Kluyveromyces lactis: one gene and its partners. The protein of the gene in region 2 purifies or fractionates together with the protein of the main gene of each other region. This does not show direct contact. Links are inferred from orthologs where the notes say so. Each region holds a gene or a part of one and is shown on either strand. Other genes may lie near its edges.

Region 1 (2,378 bases), on a different chromosome or scaffold from region 2:
TAAAAGGGTTTCAATCACGGTAGTAGCCTGATGTGGTCATTCAGGTATTAATGCGATTGTTTCTCAGTGCAGTTAAAAGGAAAAGTGATGACATACAATTGAACAATGCTTCAAAAGCATTTCATGCTTGCTATCCTTTTAGTTTGCTTGAGCTATGGGGGCACGGGTAGTTGTGGTTTCAAAAATGTTTGTATGAATAAATAATAATAAATCGGGTAGTGATGATGGAACGTGAAAAAACGAGCTTACACGATTCCAATATGACAAACTTTAGCATAAAAGATATTGACCTTGGTTGTGAATCCTACTTGGAAAATACATGGGGGGAGTAGGAGACATCAACATGGGAATAAAGAATTTTATTAGTGAAAGCTGGAGTGAGAAGGACAAAGAGAAAGAGAAAAAGGAAGAGAGTTAAATTTGAGAAATAGCAAAAAAAGGTAGCCTATTTCAACAATTTATCAACATAATATAATCTTTTTTTAGCTTTCCTTCTGCGCTTAACCGACAATCAAGTTTTCACCATCGAATTCATATTGAGGGATTTCCAAGTTCAATGGAGCTGGACCCTTTCTGATTCTACCGGAGATATCGTAATGGGAACCGTGACATGGACAGAACCAACCACCGAAATCACCAGATTCACCGATAGGAACACAACCCAAATGAGTACAGATACCCAACATGACTAACCATTCTGGCTTTTGAACTCTGTCAGAATCAGTTTGAGGATCCTTCAAAGCTGACATATCAACACTGTTAGCTTCTTGAATCTCATGGTCGGTTCTGTGTCTGATGAAAACTGGCTTACCTTGCCATTTCACAACGACATTTTTACCTTCTGGAATAGCAGCCAAGTTGACTTCGACCTTAGCCATAGCCAAAACATCTGCAGATGCAGACATAGAAGCGATGAAAGTTTCAACGGTGGATTTGGCACCGGCAGAGGACAACAAACCTAAAGAACCAACCATAAAGTAAGCATAAGAACGACCTTTGTCAGCATCGTTATTCTCCTTGATATAGTCTCCGAAATCTGGAGTTCTGTAAGTAGACTTGGCAGCAACTGCAGAAGTAGAAATTAATCTGGCTGGAGCAACAGACTTCAAACCAGTCTTCAAACCGTTTCTTAAACCCAACATTTTTGATATTAGTTAGTTATGGATATATCGCTAGAGTGTATTATTCGTACTAATTTCCCGTTCTTATTTCGGAGAAATCGTTTCTATGATATCGACTTTAATCACAACAGCAAAGCACTCTCGGAGTATCAATAAATATATACACAGATATGAATCACCAAGCCAGATTATAAAATATATATATCAATGCAAAAATGTTGTTGGAACTGAAAGTAATAATAAAATGATTGTACTAAATCTTTTTCTATTTTATTTTATTCAGAGAAATTATCAAATTATCTCTATCCATATTAAACAGAAGCCATTGCAGCTTAATAAGTGCGGAAGGAAGCAAAAAAAAAAAAAACAAAGAAAAATTTCAGATTGGGAAAAAAGCCAATAGTAAGAAGCGCTAAAGGATTAAACAAGATATAATTCGACCAGACAGGAATGGACAGTGTAAATGAGCTGGGACGAGGCAGAACTTCCTGGTGTGGTTATTATTTTCCAATTTACAAGTATACAATTTTATTTGCGTAAATGGTCAAGTATAGGAAGATTTTCTTGGTGGAAATGATAACTGACACTAGGGCCTTTGGGCCTAGTGTCAGTAAAACGCTTCGCATTTAACGGCTTTCACATAGTAGCTGTAAGTGTCCATTTCCTTGTGTTTTCTGGTTATTCAAGGGAAGCAGGTTTTTCTGTAAAGCCTGGTTCACGATATGATTGGTTCGTTTGTAGTGATTATATTAATGTATGTTTGTTGCTGACATTATTTAAACCCATAACCCTCATACATTTCGAGGGCAGTCACCAATCGCAGAAGAAGAGTATCACGTGACTCATATTCGTACAAGCAGAGTTCGTTGAAACAGGTATGGGCAGTGGGCAACTGATCATGTGATCCGGACGTTGTGCGGGTTACCTTGAACGGAAGCGTCGCAAGTCCCGTCACTGGAACTCTGTCACTCCCAGTCACGAAATGGAGAAATTGACGTTGCTGTTCATGGGATAATTGTGGTAGTATTTCCCATAGCCATTCCACTACCGGGGTTTGGTTATGGAATCCGCCTTGGTATTTCGTCACAGCGCGAAGTTGTTCGAAATCCATGTCTTGTTCTATGCTGCCACAGATGAGCCTTTCTACTTCACAACTTTTGAACATCGGGAAAGCCAAACCATCCCCGATGACTCTTGTAAACCCGGATTGGAATGCACTAAAACTCGATGAGACCCCCTCATTCATATAAAAATTTA
Region 2 (2,463 bases):
TTATCAGTGACACTTTCTACCTTTGTTCAGTGTCGTGCTACGAGTAGGATAAGAGCTCTGAATCCTTGCTTTAAAGTGACACCCTTGCTCTGTTAATTCTTTCATTGTTTCGATTTTGATGTTCTTTTTCTTGATTTTTCAATAGTAAATATGTGTGCTTCATGGAAATCCTAGGAAACCTAGTTCTACATATGAGTTCGAGGAAAACGAGAAACCTTGGATAGGAAGATCAGTGAATAGACATTGGTGGGTACCCCTGGATGCCTCATTGTAGCAATATGTTCATTAAAAAAACTATATACATATACAGAGAATTGTTGGGAGAGGAAAAGAAGCGTTTGTTTCACTTCATAAAACATATTGATGAGTAGGTTTAATTTCGTTTGCTATTCAGCATAGTAAAATGACGATGCCCTCAAAGATGCTTCAGGGCTCTTGTTCGTCAGTGAATTTGTTCTTTGATTGGAAAATTCAGATAGTCATGTAAAGAGATAATAAGCCTATTTCTTTAATCTTTCCTCAAGGTCTTTCAATTCTTGTTGCAGTTTGGAGGTCTCTTGTTCCATTTCTTTAGCTTTTTGTCTGGCAAGTTCAGCTTTTTGTCTCCTCAACTTAGTCTCTTCATCTCTTCTCTCCAACTCTTGGATCCATAACTGCTCTCTCATCTTGGCCTTCTTCCTTAGTTGTTCCTCATGAGATTCTCTTTCGTTTTTATTTGTACCGTAGATATAAGAACCTGCTACAAGGGCGATAAGTGTAAACCCTTGAAGGGCTACACGCCAACGGAACCAGATCTGAGCTTTCCGCTTGTTACCGTTCTTCACATTAAGCACAGCCAACAAAACTGCACCAGTGGTAGCTAGAGTCCCAAGAGGAACTAATGGCTGTTGCTTACAATGGTAAATCATTTTATCCAGAAATGGCATCTCATCCAAATCATCTGCATCGGAGTCGAAACTTGATGGAAGGTACGACATGATTGTTTTCTTTTGCTGTTGTTGGGTGTATATCTCTGTAAGTACGAGCACGGTCTTCTCTTGATTTCGGCCTGTTAGTTAGTTGTATCGAAAACTATAGACGCCTTGATCAACTCCAGATAGTTTGCTGCCTTGCTTTATTTAATGAATCTCTTTATCGGTTGGAAACTTTATTTCTACTATTCCTTTATTTCGATATTTGCTCATTACTTGTGTGGGAAATTTGTACAATAGGGTAATGGCAAAGTAAACAGGTGTCAGTTAACACGACACCAATGACAGGGCACTGACCAGTACTCGTTCCCTCTTGATGGTAACTAATAATCTTAAATATACATAAGGGTACGGTATGCATATATGTAGTATATTATATTTCAGAAATTTCTGAGTTCTCAATCATTTCCACTCTTGTTCTCTTCCTCGAAGATGAATTGTTTCAATTTCTCGTATGCGGCATCCAAATCGTCGTTGACAACGGTCAAGTCATGTGCGCCAGTCTCAGCATATTCCAATTCGGCAATGGCTGCATTTAGTCTTTTCTCAAGAGATTCTGGCGTCTCGGTGCCTCTGCCAGTCAACCTTTCCTTCAGCACTTCAACAGAAGGTGGAGCCACGAAAAGGAACCTAGCGTTCAAATCGGTCTGTTTCACAGATTTCACACCTTGCATGTCAATGTCCAAGATACACGTCTTGCCGCTGTTTGTCACCTCCTTCACAGACTCGATAGTCGTTCCGTAGTAGTTACCAGAGAACTGTGCCCATTCGATGAACTTCTTGTTATCTATCATCGATTTGAACTCGTCCACTGTAACGAAATTGTAGTCCTTACCGTTCACTTCACCATTTCTTGGCTGTCTAGTAGTAGACGATACAGAGAACCCGAAACTCGTTGGGTACTCCGCGAACAACTTCTTCAAAAGAGTGGACTTACCGGTACCACTTGGACCAGAAATGACTATAGGACGACTCATTCTTCCAATAAACATGCAAAAGGGAAGCGTTGAAGATGCCAGCTGAGCGCCTAATTCAAAAATAAAATATACCAGAAACGAAAAGAGTAAACGCAAACGTAAGAGTGGCACCAACGAACTGCTTTATTGAAAATGGTGGTTTTTTAATGATCTATGTCTTGGATCCACACATGTCACATTGAAATAATTTTTCAGTTCTAACTTGGCGATGCCCATCGCGTCGTTAAATCTAGAAACAGAAAATGAAAATGAAATTGGAACTCGTATGGAAACTGGAATGTGGACTGAAATGCCGATGAGGAAGCGATATATGGCTCCAATGAGCCAGTAGCTAGTAACCACTAGTTCCAGTGTGTTTTTGGATACAGTACCGGTAGAAGAAGGTATTGTGTGTCGCGATATTCTCTGATATAACCTGTGCCAAGGCTGGTCAACAACAATGATATCACGTGATATATGAAATTTATGCGTGGTGTGTGGGTTTATTGATATTTCCCACATTATTCGGATGTCTG
Region 3 (2,490 bases), on a different chromosome or scaffold from region 2:
AACAAAAAGAGAGCGAGGAAAAAGATATATAACGATTATAAATAAAAAACTAGTGTCTTATTCTTAGAGTTAAGTACCACTTCGGATATGAGGGATAATAAGAGGAGGGGGGGGGTTTTTTTTTTTTTTCACCCTCCCCCCCCCCCCCAAAAAAAAAAAAAATGATAGTACGCTACGAACTATTTTTTTAAAAAAAAAAAAAAATCCCCCCCCTCCCCCCTGATGACATTGGGCTTGTACTTCATATTATTAATAGTCGTCATAATAAATAAATATATCTAGGACACATTATAATATATTTGACGGGGGGCTTTTTAGGATATACTTGGGGGGGTGCCACGGGTAGTTCTAATTCCCCGGCAATCCTATTTAGGATTGCCGCGGGCAATACTTATAATAGTATTATATTAATATTATATTATATATTTATTTATATATTTAATATAAAAAAGGTAAGAATATTATTGTTTAAAGATATTCTTATATATTGTACTGATGAGTTATACACCTCATCAGTAGAATACAATATATAAGAATAATCAAATGATATCTAAAATATGGCAGTACAACACTGTTGTTTCATAACCTACATGATGAGTAGCTGTTAAATGATAGTTTCTTAATCTTCAATAATTAATACCTAACATTGCTGCTAACATAACCATATGTAAGAAATGTAATCCTGTACCAGCATAGAATACTGATCCATATACACCATCAGTAATTGTGAAAGTAGCATTAGTATATTCGATATATTGACAAGTAACAAAAATAACAATTAATCAGAATGTAATTAATAATCCTGATAATGCATTTTTTCTATTACCACCTACTAATCCATGATGACTATATGTAATAGTAGCACCTGAAGATAATAAGATAATAGTATTTAATAAAGGTAATTCTGTAGGTTGTACAGCTTGAATACCAACTGGAGGTCATACACCACCTAATTCAATATTAGGGCTCATAGCTGAATGGAAATAAGCTCAGAATAATGCAGCGAAAATTAAAATTTCTGATACTACGAATAATAAGAAACCTAAATTAATACCTTTTCTAACAGCAATTGTATGATCTCCTAAATATGTTGCTTCAGCAATAATATCTCTAAATCATAATGTAGCACTTAATGTTACTGTTAAAATTGATAAATAAATTAAATACATATGTCCAATATATCCATGCATAGTTAAAGCTAATGATAATGCTAATGACATTAATGCAAATGATACTACAATTGGTCATGGTGATGGAGCTACTAAATGAAAGGGAAATTGTTGATGTCTACTTCTTTCTAAATGTGTCATAAATATTTTTATAATCTATACATTTATAAATTTAAATGTTAATTTAATTTATAGAAATAATATTACTTAATATATATATATAATATATATATATATGATAATATTTATATTTTAATATAATTATTATTATATTATACTTACTTATAAACCCCATTGCGGACTCCCCCCCCCCCGAAGGGAGGAGTCCGCAATGGGGAAAAGTTAATTATGAAAACTATTTATATATAGTATATTATTAGTAATATTAAATATATATCTAGTATCGCCAAATACCCCTATAATAGGGGTATTTGGCGATTAATAATTATATTATTATATATAATAGATCTATATAAATAAATACAATTCCCCGGACGCCTCGTCCGACCCTACGGTCGGACGATGGCGTCCGGGGTTTATATATCGATTCCCCCCAATCTCATAATATGAGATTGGGGGGGGGGGAAATAAAATAGATTATCTCTTTAATAATAATTATAAATAGAATATATTATCTTACCCCGCGGATCCTCTACTGGTATTACCAGTAGAGGATCCGCGGGAATTTATCTCTTTCCCGCGATATCATCATATGATGATATCGCGGAATATACATAATTTATAAAATATATAATAAATATTTTATTTTATATTTATAAGTAGTAAATATAATAAACATGTTAAATTTTTTAATAATTTAATAATAATATATATATAGTTTTATATATATATATTATACGATCAATATATATAAATAAATATAAATACAATGAATAAACATACAACAAATTTAAATATTATTAAAAATATTAATAATATAAACAATTTAAATTCTATAAAAGAATTATTATTATTATTAAATAATAAAAGATTAAATAGATCTTTAAATAAAACTTATATTTGAGATTATTTAAATGAATTAAGTAATAAAGGTGTAAAATTACAACATTTAAATAATATTAATTCTTGATCATCTCAAATTTATAAATTTAATAAAACTGAAGAAATTAATAATACTATTTATGATAGATTAGTAACTAAATTATTAACAAAATTATTAGTATTAAATATTAATAATAAAATTTATAAATTAATTATTTCTAAACCTATCTTTGAACATAGTATTAATAAAGTTAATATTAAATTTTTCTATTATTTATCATATAAAAATATTAATAAAAATATTAATAATAACAATAAT
Region 4 (3,059 bases), on a different chromosome or scaffold from region 2:
TCTTGATGGTTAAAATGTATTCAATTGCTCACCAGTAAATGACAGTATCATAAATAAGGACATTGAACTCATATTTTTGTTTCGACGAATAATGAGCGAGATTTTGATTTATTTCGATTTAGCCTAAATTTTCAAATATCATTTGGAATTAAAAAATACATTATGTTCATTAAATGTATTGATCTTGAGGAGCTGTGACAGAGCGAAAAATCGAATGCGCCAGTAAACACCCTAGACTTTAGTCCAAAACAGTAAAATATTGATATAAATCGATCGTGACAAATTTCTTTTTTTGGGGGAATATACACACATGAAATTAAACTGTAACTTATTACTCATCGAGTGATATGGTTATAACAACTCAAAAGTAAATGTTACAGGGAGTAATTCTACTCAGTCGAGTAGAAAAGAGAGAATTGTTTTTAGAATGACCGTCGTGAAATGAGAATATAATATAAAAAGAATTGTTAAAATATCTTAAGACTCGGCTTTTAGTTTGATTACCATCTCATCATACTCATGTCGTTTCTCATTCTGACGTAGTCCAACAAGTCTTCAATCTTACCAGTACCGGCAACAGCGATATCTTGATCCCATAATCTTTCGGAAGCCCAAGCCTTAATATCCTTGGAGGTAATTTTGTCAATCTTAGTGAAGACTTCAGCCAAGGCTGGCTTAGCACCCAAAACCAAGGTTTGAGCACCCAACAAGTTAGCAGCAGCAGCGTTGGTAGAAACTTGAGAAGCCAACTTCAACTTTAACAAAGACTTAGCACGAGCGACTTCAGTTTCGGTGACAGAGATGGACAATCTGTTCCATTGCTTCAAAGTGAAATGGACAGTTTCATCGATGTTGTGTGGGTCGGTGATGGTGGTTCTGAAACCCCACAAACCGGAGTCCTTATAAGAGACAGAGAAGTGTTCGAAAGAGTCACACAAGTGGTATTCGTTAACTTCGTCGATCAACTTAACACCTTGTAGGTTGGAAGCTGGTTCAGCAGCAACGAAAGTACCGAAGACTTCAGCAGCGACTTGAGCAACATAGTATTGTGGAGAATTGATAGGTTCACCTTCAGCAGCGATAGATACCCAAGCCTTTGGTAGAGTATCATCTCTTAGTCTGACTTCAGAACCCAAGAAAGTGGACTTCTTCTTTGGCACTGGTTTGTCACCAGATAGCAAAGAAAGCTTAGTTTCAACAGCCTTGACCAATTCATCGTGGTTAACGTTACCGGTACCAACAATAACAGAGTTGTTTGCCTTGAATTGGTTTTGAACGAAGTTGGACAAGTCGATGTTTTCCAAACCTTCTAGAGTTTCGACAGTACCTCTGACTGGCAAAGACAATGGAGTGTTTTGGAAAGCAGTGGCGTGCAAGTGTTCGAAAACACGTTGTTCGTGTTCAGTTTCTTCGAACTTGGCAACAGTGTCTACAGTAGCTCTCTTGGAACTTTCGAAGACGGAGTCCTCAATTGGAGCGAAAAGCTTGGATTGCAAGAATTCTAGAGCCTTAGCATATTGACCTGGTTGAGAGTTAACAATGTAAGATTGGTGGTCTCTGCCAACCTTGGTTTCTAAGGAGAATCCCAATTTTTGAGCATCCTTGATAGAAGAGTTGACAAAGGAGTTAGCCAACAAGTTGGAAACACCGTTGTTGTATGGGTTTTCGGCAGTAGTACCGGAACCGAACACCAAACCGACCGCAGCAGTGGCAGAGTTGCTGTTTGGTTCAGTAGCAACAACAACACCGTTAGATAGTTCGGTGACGATGGCTTTTGGGGTAATTTGAGTGGCAATGGTTCTCTTCAAGATTGAAGATCTAGTAGCGGTTCTCAACATCTTTCTTATGGCAAATAATTGGTTATAATCCGTTTAATCAATATAGTGTGTTGAATTTGTACGTGCAAAATAAATAGAATACGGGATCAAAAACAAGTCAATGAGCTCCCAAATGTAATACCTTCGAAGTTATAATTCTCGTTTACTTTTTTCCTTGGAAACCTTTCTGTTGGTATACTATCGATTCAAAAAACAGTATAGTGGTATTTCACTGAAAAAAATATAAAGCAAAGTTTGGATAGTTTTTAGCCTAACTGAATTCTCAATTTCCTTAAAATTGTGCACACTTGACTGAAGCAATATACAAGAGTAGAAAACTATAAACAGGTCTAAATAAAGTTAGTGTACTTTCATTAAACAAATATCAATGATTTATCTAACTACTTTTAATTTTTTTTTAATTTTGGAAGGTTACACTATATGAAAAAAGTGAAAAATGTTGATACTGAGAGCGCTGTCTAGTTTTTCGATATTTCCATAATTTTTTTTTTTTACCTCTTCTTCTTTGTCTTCTCTGTAGCATAGAGATTTTCTTTCATTGGACAACGACCTGTCCACATAATTAATAGGGGACCCCCTTTGAACAATTATTAAAATCGTTTCTGGCCGAGAAACTGGTCCGAAAAACAAAAATTTACATAGTAGCGAGTACTTTTCGGGACGAGAATTTAGCCCCAAAACTGCTAATTCCATCTGCTCGAACATTTCCAATCAAATCGACATTTTTGGGATTGCATATCCCTCTTTCTCGCTCATCTCGCAGTTACGGAAGTATCGGTACCAGCATTTCTTTTCCCATAATAAACAGTGGAAATGCTCGATTTCCTATGGTAAGCGGTAAACTTTGAATGAAAAATGAACCGTGAAATACGATGCCCGAACTGGATTTCCATTGGTTCGTCAAAGATGATCAAATACCGAGATTGAAATTCGACTCACGTGAATAAAATTACACTTACCCGCACAATAGAAAGATTCGGGTAAGTACCAAAGTCCAAATGAGTACTTTTTTTTTTTTTGATTACTTGCTTGCTTGCTGGTGGTTTGTGCGTACAGTGTAAGTGTTCGATTCTCGCCTTGAAAACACCGCAACGAATATCCATTCGGATTTACTCTTCGGAAATAAAATCATCATTTCATTCGCCAACTATCCCTGCATGTATTTACGACTTCTTCAAGCAAGGTTTCTAAGAAATTTAGAAGGGAGCTTATTCCCGCAAA
Region 5 (2,596 bases), on a different chromosome or scaffold from region 2:
AAAGTAGTATTATGACGTACAAAGGAGGAGGTTCAATTCTTTCTAATTCGTAAGAAAAAAACACTATTTGTTCCCCCGAAGTACCATATTCTCAGAAGATGAGAATAAAGAGAGGGGTTGTTCGTAAAAAAAGTTTTCATTTAAATCCTCACCGTTTCATTCTTGATAATCGAGCTTCCTTTTCCCTCTTTATAAGATGTTTTTAAGCATGGTTGATGGTCAAGCCATTTTGTTTTGTTAGAATCCTTTTTTATGTGTCAGACGGTGTGGGATGTATGGGTGGAAAGATGAATATATTTGATGTATCTCTGATCTAAATGATTAAGATCACATTTGATTACCAACAATCAAATACTGATCAATCAAGTAGCAAAAAAGAAGAGACCTTGCAAGTTTCTCCGGAAATGGGGAGAAACAGAAGTAGAGAGTTGAGAGAATAAAATAGAAAGAGTTGATATGAATTAGTCTTTATTCGTTTCGACATTAATATTCAAAAAAACTCATTTCTTTGGTGGGTTGAAGACAATCTTTCTAGACTTGATAGAAGCCCACTTGAACTTCTTGACCCAGACGGACAACAAGTATAGAGAGGACAATACGATCATAGCCTTTAGACCCAATCTCTTTCTTTCATCGTGTTCTGGTTCAGAACACCAGTGCAAGAAAGTGGTAACATCCTTAGCCATTTGAGAAGTAGTGGCTGGGGTACCGTCTTCGTATTCGACCAAATCGTCGAACAAGACTCTACCCATCGCAATGGAACCACCTGGGAAGTATGGGTTGTAGTTGGCACCTGGAGGCAAGACAACACCGGCTGGTGGTTCTTCTGGGTAACCAGTTAACAAAGCAAAGATATAATCTGGACCACCGTGTCTGGCCTTGACGATCAAGGACAAATCTGGAGGTAGAGCACCTTGGTTAGCGGCTCTAGCAGCTTGTTCGTTTGGATATGGACCTGGGACATAATCAGCCAATTTACCAGGTCTCTTCTTTGGGTTACCTTGGTCATCTGGTTCGTCATCGTATTCGAACTCTTCAGCCATGGCTCTGACTTCGGCGTTAGTGTGAGAAACACCAACCATGGTTCTCCATGCAACACGGTCCAAAGAATGGCATGCAGCACAAACTTCACGGTAAACTTGGTAACCACGTCTGATAGAAGAATGGTCGAAAGTTTCCAATGGACCGTTGTGAGACCAACCGTAACCTGGGGCATGCAAACCATGCTCAGCAGCTGTCATAGCGTCAGCAGTCAAGGAATCAGCATACAACATTGTTGAAGCACCAATACCGACAACAGCAGCACCACCAACAATGGCTCTTTGAACATAAGTACCTTTTACGGCCTGTTTAGCGGCAGTAGAAAATGATCTGAACATCGTTTATTATTATGATATCACTTTAGTTTCCTATTAATTGAATTCTCTTCTAAAAGATAAAAATGTCCCGAATTTTGATATTCTAACAACTATTTGTATGAATCAAAGCTGATATTCTTGAATTTATATTCGTATCACACAGACAATGGATAATATCCTGAGAATGTATTATTATTCTTTTCTTAATATCTGTACCAGAAAGACGAACAAATAGACAGTTAGGTAAAGGACAAAAATTTAAAAGACGCAGGCTTCTTTTATTCCGTTCTTTTCAAAAATAAATATTAAATCAAATCCGTTGAATTGATTGATCGATCAGCGCAAACTAAATCCCTGGTTAATACTATAACCAACTAAACGTATATATAAATAATCTATGTATATCGTTTCCAAAAAGTTTTCTCTAGTTTGAAAAGAATTATATACTATATTTTTGTAGATATTTTTCATTATATCGCTTTTTACATAGAGAAAAAATCGATTCCCAAAATTTTCAAGCCGTTTTTTTTTTTCCCTTTCGCTGTCTGTGAGCATTTCTCTGCTAAGTTTTCTGTCCAATCCAATGATAATTGTTTGTGATTGATTATGTTTAAAGTATTTTTTTTTATTTTTCGAAAGCGATGTTTTTCTGAAGGTTTTCTATCCTAAGCGCACTGGAGGATGCGTGTTAAGGGCGATATTCCCGACGAAAAGTCACTAAGTACGGGAAAATATCCATATGTGCGGAGGTTTATGAGAAGACGGCACGTTCTTCGATGTGATTGGTCAGAACTCCATATCCCAAAAACATCAATGTCATTCACGTGACTGGGACTTGTCACGTGAATGTTTTCCTTCTGGGAAAACGTAAAACGTCTTTCCATTCATATCCATATGGCAAAAGCCATTCAAGAAAGAGTAAGTACATGCTAACGCCTAGAATAGAATTGACCATTCTGGTCTTAGTTAATCGGCTAGAAGGAAACAGCTCAAGAACAATGGAAGATGTTAGGTACGGGTTTCTCAGTACACTGGACCATTTACCATGCGATGTGATTCGCACCCTCTGGACTATACAATCATTGGATATAGGTGATACTAATAGAGATGGATGTCATTCAGAAGAGATGCTGCGACAAGCGCAACATCTCTTAGAGTTAGTACGGCAAGAACATTCACGGCTCAATTTTGAAAAACAAGAATTGGAGCGATTCTCTCAGATTAAGGCAAGGTACGAT
Region 6 (2,513 bases), on a different chromosome or scaffold from region 2:
GAAATTATATAATATTATTTATGAAAATAATAATATTAATACTATCCCTAATAATATTTTAATGTTTAAATATTTAGTAGGATGATCAATTCAATTAAAAGGTAGATTATCTAATAATAAATCTATTTCTAGATCTAATACAATGAATATTTTAAATGGTACATTCCAAAACTATAAATATATTTGAGGTAATCAAATGGTTAATAATTATAAATTAAATTATATCCCTGTTAACCATAATATTACTAATATTTCTGATGTTAATAAAAATGGTAAATATAATATTAAAGTTAAATTAAATACTATTTAATTTATTAATTAATAATAATAAATAAATAATCAATATTCTTCCCCCACGCGGCATTACCCTAGGGTAATGCCGCGTGGGGCTTCTTTCTTTATATTATAATTATATAATTATATAATATATAATAAATTAATATATACATATAATCCCCCCTTCATATTATATGAAGGGGGGGGTAAAAATATAAATATTTTATAATATATAATAAATTAATATATATCTTTCCCGCGTTCTCCTTACTATTTCCTTAAGGACCTCTAAATACTAATAAAAATTAATTTTATATTATTAATTTTATATATAAATAAATATATAATATACATTTTCCCGCGGGGTATAATACTTATTATTAGTATTAATAATTTATTTATTTATTTATTTATTTATTTATTAATTTATTTATAATACTTTTCCCGCGGACTTATTCCCTGGAATTCCAGGGAATAAGCCGCGGGGTGTATAAATAATTTTATATACTCTTCTCCCGGGGACTCCTTCCCATAAGGTGTATACCTGGGAAGAGTCCCCGGAGTTAATATAATTAATAAACCCCACCCCCTTTAAGGGGGGTGGGGAGGAATACGCAATTGGGGGAATTTATAATAATTATTATATAATATTATTATATAGATATAAGTAAGTATAATATTATTATAATAATAATAATAGAGATTAGCTTAATTGGCAGAGCATTCGTTTTACACGCGAAGGACATGAGTTCAAATCTCGTATCTCTAATATATATTAAATATATCAATTAAAATATAAAAATTTAATAATAATATATCAATATACTTATTTAATATTATTATAATTATTTATAATAATTTATTATTAATAAGTTTTTTTCCTAATTGCGAACTCATCAAAACATTAGTTGGATGAGTTCGCGGGAGAATAATATATTAATCAATGTAATATCTAATATATAGAATATATATAGATTAAAAAAAATTATAAATATGTTTTATTTATTAAATTCAATTATTATGAATGATGTACCTACACCTTATGGTATGTATTTCCAAGATTCAGCTACACCTAATCAAGAAGGTATTTTAGAATTACATGATAATATTATGTTCTATTTATTTATTATTTTAGGATTAGTATCATGATTATTATTTACAATTGTAAGAACTTATAGTAAAAATCCTATTGCTTATAAATATATTAAACATGGTCAAACTATTGAAATTATTTGAACAATTTTCCCTGCTGTAATTTTATTAATTATTGCTTTCCCTTCATTCATTTTATTATATTTATGTGATGAAGTTATTTCTCCAGCAATGACTATTAAAGCTATTGGTTTACAATGATATTGAAAATATGAATACTCAGATTTCATTAATGATAATGGTGAAACAGTAGAATTTGAATCATATGTTATTCCTGAAGATTTATTAGAAGATGGTCAATTAAGATTATTAGATACTGATACTTCAGTAGTAGTACCTGTTGATACACATATTAGATTTGTTGTTACAGCAGCTGATGTTATTCATGATTTTGCTGTACCTAGTTTAGGTATTAAAATTGATGCAGCTCCTGGTAGATTAAATCAAGTATCAGCTTTAATTCAAAGAGAAGGTGTATTCTATGGACAATGTTCAGAAATTTGTGGACAATCACATTCAGCTATGCCTATTAAAATTGAAGCAGTTTCATTACCAGCATTCTTAGAATGATTAAATGAACAATAATTATATAATTTATAATTAATAAATTATATATAATAATATTCTTTCCCTGCAAACCCTACAATATTATTAGGGGTTTCCCCACGGTCACCTTCCCGACCCACAAGGAGACGGGGATTCTTACTTATTTTATATCCCGCGGATTCATGTTATGAATCCGCGGAATTATTATATTATATTATATTATATTATATTATATTTTTAAATATAATAATAATTATATATAAATAAGAGTATAAAAATAATTTATTGATCTCATGCTATACTCCCCCCCCTTCCTGTCGCACACGATTGGTGCGCAGATATTGAAGGGGGGGAGTAGGGAGTAATAAATTTAGGATAACCATTATTATAATAATTAATTATTATAATAATATTTTTCCCCCGCGGTCTCTCACCCTACGAATGTAGGGTGATGAGCCGCGGGGTAATTCTTATTTATTATATATTATAATATTAATAATAAACCCCCGCGGACTCCTTTAAAGGAGTCCGCGGGAAAA
Region 7 (2,442 bases), on a different chromosome or scaffold from region 2:
TGTATCGGTAATTGTCATACTGACCCTCGGTGTCACCTTGAAACAAAGACTTTTTTTTTTGAAATTTTATTGATAAAATCGTACTTAATTTAAATAATGAGTTCTTACCTGTGAAATGTAGTATGTAGAGAAACAATGTGTAACATAAGTCTTTAATTGGTTTAAACGATCCGGGGGGGGAAAGAAATAGAGGCAATTGGTATAAAATATGAATCAATCATTCTTTTAAAATTCAATAGATCTGGCCTGTTCCCCGCTTTCCAAACATATAAACAAATCTTGATTATGTGCAGGACCAGTTCAAGTATATGTCCCCACTAAACTTTTTGTGTAATTTGTTGCTTCAGCTTGTGTAATTTATTATTTTGTAATATTTTAGAATAGGTTTGTGTATTTGACATTTGTATTGGAATTTTTAGAATGATATAGTGGTACACTGGTTGTTAATCCTTTTTTTACCAGGATAAGTGGGAATGATATGGAAGGAAGGATTAAAATGCTTAATGGTGACCTTCTTGAGGAACACCGACCATCTTAAGCTTGTATACACAACCGGTTTCCCAACATCTGGCGACTTGACCGTCGGTTGGCTTCAACCACATGACGTTGTGAGAACCAGCTGGGGAACCAGTGGCACCGACATAACGGTAGTCATCGTAGGATTCAACAATGATTGGGTTTTCCATGGTACCGATTCTGGAAGAGTCCAATGGCTTGGTGTCGAAAACTTCGATACCTTCCAATTTACCCAACAATTCCAATCTGGCTAAACCAGTGGCTTGGTCCAATTCGGTTGGAACTTCACCGTCTTTGGCACCAGGACCAATCAAAGTGTCAGCACCGTTAACTTCAGCCAACTTGGTAGCAGTCTTAACAACTTGTTGATCACCTGCAACCTTGGTGGTAGCAAAAGCTCTGGATGCTGGGCCGAACAACTTCGATAGGGATTGACGTAGAGACAACATTATTTCTTCTTTGTGATTGGATTGATAGGTGATAACTTAGATACTCCGATGTGTGAATCTAAAACGATGGAACAAAGGTATATTTGAATTGTAATGAACTAATCAATTAGCAATATATGACAAAAAGAACCACTTGGATACTGTAAGCTAGCTGAGACAGATAAGGTGATCAGTTGAATATATTCGCAAATGAAAGTAATCGGCGAAAGAAAACCCTCTGAAACAAACGTATGACTCTCTTGAACAAACTTGATAAAACGTCTTTAGCTACTTTCTAAAACTCTGAAATCACTGTTGAAAATATTATTCATATATATACATTCGGTTCCAATATCCTGCGAAAATCAAGAAATGAAAATTATCGCTTATAACAAAAAACGTACAAAAATCACATCATGTTTCCCAGTATGATTGGAGCAGGGAGAAGAAGGAAAGATACAAAAAAGGTGTCTACTCGTACATAGTGATGTACACATTTTTTAGCTGGAGTAGTCTTTCGTATTTGTTTCTATTTTGTTTCCGGCGAGAGTAGGATCTAGTGTGGGTGTTGTCAATTGAGTGAGAATTCTGCGATATGGTTGGCTAGAGGTCATGTGATTTATATAGGCAATGCCATGCCATTAATATTAAAGAGATTATTCATTTGATCTGGCGCGCGTCGCGTGACAGGTTATATACATATATGTGTGTACATATATGTGTGTTTCTATTATATGTGTATAATGTCAGATAATGGGGAAAATGGTTCACCTGCCAAATTTCTTCAGTTCGCAGTACCTTAGTGGTGGATATGATACTCCTGCGAAACCCATACCGAGCCACATACCTAAATCTCCGCCATACTCGCCAATCTTTGCGGCAAGTGGCCCCACGTAATACGTTTGACACATTCCAAGTACCACACCAGCAACACCGATGCAGAACGCAGCGGATGCAGCCAATCCTCTTGTGATGACTTCAGAGTTGTCCCATTCATCCCAGTTGTACCTGTGGATGTGCCTTGGTAATTTCCTTAGTTTATGATGTGGTTTCACTTCTATGTCATTGGGGAATTCCAATTTATATAGATGGTGGAACCAGTTTCTAAAGATGACGTTCTCTTCCACGAGTAAGATGAAGTACATGCTAATCCAGTAACCAATCATAGGTAGGAAATTTCCCAAGATGGTGGAAAAACTGTTTCTACCTACTAGCGCACATACGAGGTAAAAGATGGTACATCCGATAGCCCAGATCCAACGAGGCACCTTGGCTAACATCACACTTGATAATTGGATGGAGAATGCTGCAGAGTATGTGTTAACAATATTATTCGAGATTAAAGATAAGATCAATACAACGACCAAAAATTTCCCAAATCCATTCCAACGAGAGAAACCAGCATTCATGAGACCACCCATCCCATATTCATCATATGCAGCTTGCCAAGGTTCGTAGGACAGTGAACATGATGCCAGTAGAAGACCCAATACACCAA

What was found.
Region 1: the proteins of RCF1 (region 2) and RIP1 purify together in Saccharomyces cerevisiae (co-purification; 3 studies listed by BioGRID, with this or other methods). This does not show direct contact. The link is inferred for Kluyveromyces lactis from reciprocal best matches to the Saccharomyces cerevisiae genes RCF1 and RIP1.
Region 3: the proteins of RCF1 (region 2) and COX3 purify together in Saccharomyces cerevisiae (affinity purification with western blotting; 6 studies listed by BioGRID, with this or other methods). This does not show direct contact. The link is inferred for Kluyveromyces lactis from reciprocal best matches to the Saccharomyces cerevisiae genes RCF1 and COX3.
Region 4: the proteins of RCF1 (region 2) and COR1 purify together in Saccharomyces cerevisiae (affinity purification with western blotting; 4 studies listed by BioGRID, with this or other methods). This does not show direct contact. The link is inferred for Kluyveromyces lactis from reciprocal best matches to the Saccharomyces cerevisiae genes RCF1 and COR1.
Region 5: the proteins of RCF1 (region 2) and CYT1 purify together in Saccharomyces cerevisiae (affinity purification with western blotting; 3 studies listed by BioGRID, with this or other methods). This does not show direct contact. The link is inferred for Kluyveromyces lactis from reciprocal best matches to the Saccharomyces cerevisiae genes RCF1 and CYT1.
Region 6: the proteins of RCF1 (region 2) and COX2 purify together in Saccharomyces cerevisiae (affinity purification with western blotting; 4 studies listed by BioGRID, with this or other methods). This does not show direct contact. The link is inferred for Kluyveromyces lactis from reciprocal best matches to the Saccharomyces cerevisiae genes RCF1 and COX2.
Region 7: the proteins of RCF1 (region 2) and COX4 purify together in Saccharomyces cerevisiae (affinity purification with western blotting; 4 studies listed by BioGRID, with this or other methods). This does not show direct contact. The link is inferred for Kluyveromyces lactis from reciprocal best matches to the Saccharomyces cerevisiae genes RCF1 and COX4.

The regions. Positions count from the first base shown.
Region 1 is NC_006041.1:2,012,936-2,015,313, reverse strand, and holds RIP1 (ubiquinol--cytochrome-c reductase catalytic subunit RIP1), read right to left. Parts: upstream 1,143-2,378; coding exon 501-1,142; downstream 1-500. Other genes in the region: putative E3 ubiquitin-protein ligase HUL4, read right to left, coding at 1,894-2,378. UniProt on the Saccharomyces cerevisiae protein: Component of the ubiquinol-cytochrome c oxidoreductase, a multisubunit transmembrane complex that is part of the mitochondrial electron transport chain which drives oxidative phosphorylation.
Region 2 is NC_006038.1:134,409-136,871, forward strand, and holds RCF1 (respiratory supercomplex assembly factor RCF1), read right to left. Parts: upstream 978-2,463; coding exon 501-977; downstream 1-500. Other genes in the region: GUK1 (guanylate kinase), read right to left, coding at 1,370-1,948. UniProt on the Saccharomyces cerevisiae protein: Assembly factor that plays a role in the assembly of the respiratory chain supercomplexes (SCs) composed of ubiquinol-cytochrome c oxidoreductase (cytochrome b-c1 complex, complex III, CIII) and cytochrome c oxidase (complex IV, CIV).
Region 3 is NC_006077.1:37,359-39,848, reverse strand, and holds COX3 (cytochrome c oxidase subunit 3), read right to left. Parts: upstream 1,311-2,490; coding exon 501-1,310; downstream 1-500. Other genes in the region: VAR1 (ribosomal small subunit protein), read left to right, coding at 2,044-2,490. UniProt on the Saccharomyces cerevisiae protein: Component of the cytochrome c oxidase, the last enzyme in the mitochondrial electron transport chain which drives oxidative phosphorylation.
Region 4 is NC_006041.1:507,937-510,995, reverse strand, and holds COR1 (ubiquinol--cytochrome-c reductase subunit COR1), read right to left. Parts: upstream 1,839-3,059; coding exon 501-1,838; downstream 1-500. UniProt on the Saccharomyces cerevisiae protein: Component of the ubiquinol-cytochrome c oxidoreductase, a multisubunit transmembrane complex that is part of the mitochondrial electron transport chain which drives oxidative phosphorylation.
Region 5 is NC_006042.1:1,525,675-1,528,270, reverse strand, and holds CYT1 (ubiquinol--cytochrome-c reductase catalytic subunit CYT1), read right to left. Parts: upstream 1,380-2,596; coding exon 501-1,379; downstream 1-500. Other genes in the region: YNG1 (Yng1p), read left to right, coding at 2,285-2,596. UniProt on the Saccharomyces cerevisiae protein: Component of the ubiquinol-cytochrome c oxidoreductase, a multisubunit transmembrane complex that is part of the mitochondrial electron transport chain which drives oxidative phosphorylation.
Region 6 is NC_006077.1:34,436-36,948, reverse strand, and holds COX2 (cytochrome c oxidase subunit 2), read left to right. Parts: upstream 1-1,242; coding exon 1,243-2,013; downstream 2,014-2,513. Other genes in the region: VAR1 (ribosomal small subunit protein), read left to right, coding at 1-310. UniProt on the Saccharomyces cerevisiae protein: Component of the cytochrome c oxidase, the last enzyme in the mitochondrial electron transport chain which drives oxidative phosphorylation.
Region 7 is NC_006040.1:437,176-439,617, reverse strand, and holds COX4 (cytochrome c oxidase subunit IV), read right to left. Parts: upstream 966-2,442; coding exon 501-965; downstream 1-500. Other genes in the region: TPN1 (Tpn1p), read right to left, coding at 1,712-2,442. UniProt on the Saccharomyces cerevisiae protein: Component of the cytochrome c oxidase, the last enzyme in the mitochondrial electron transport chain which drives oxidative phosphorylation.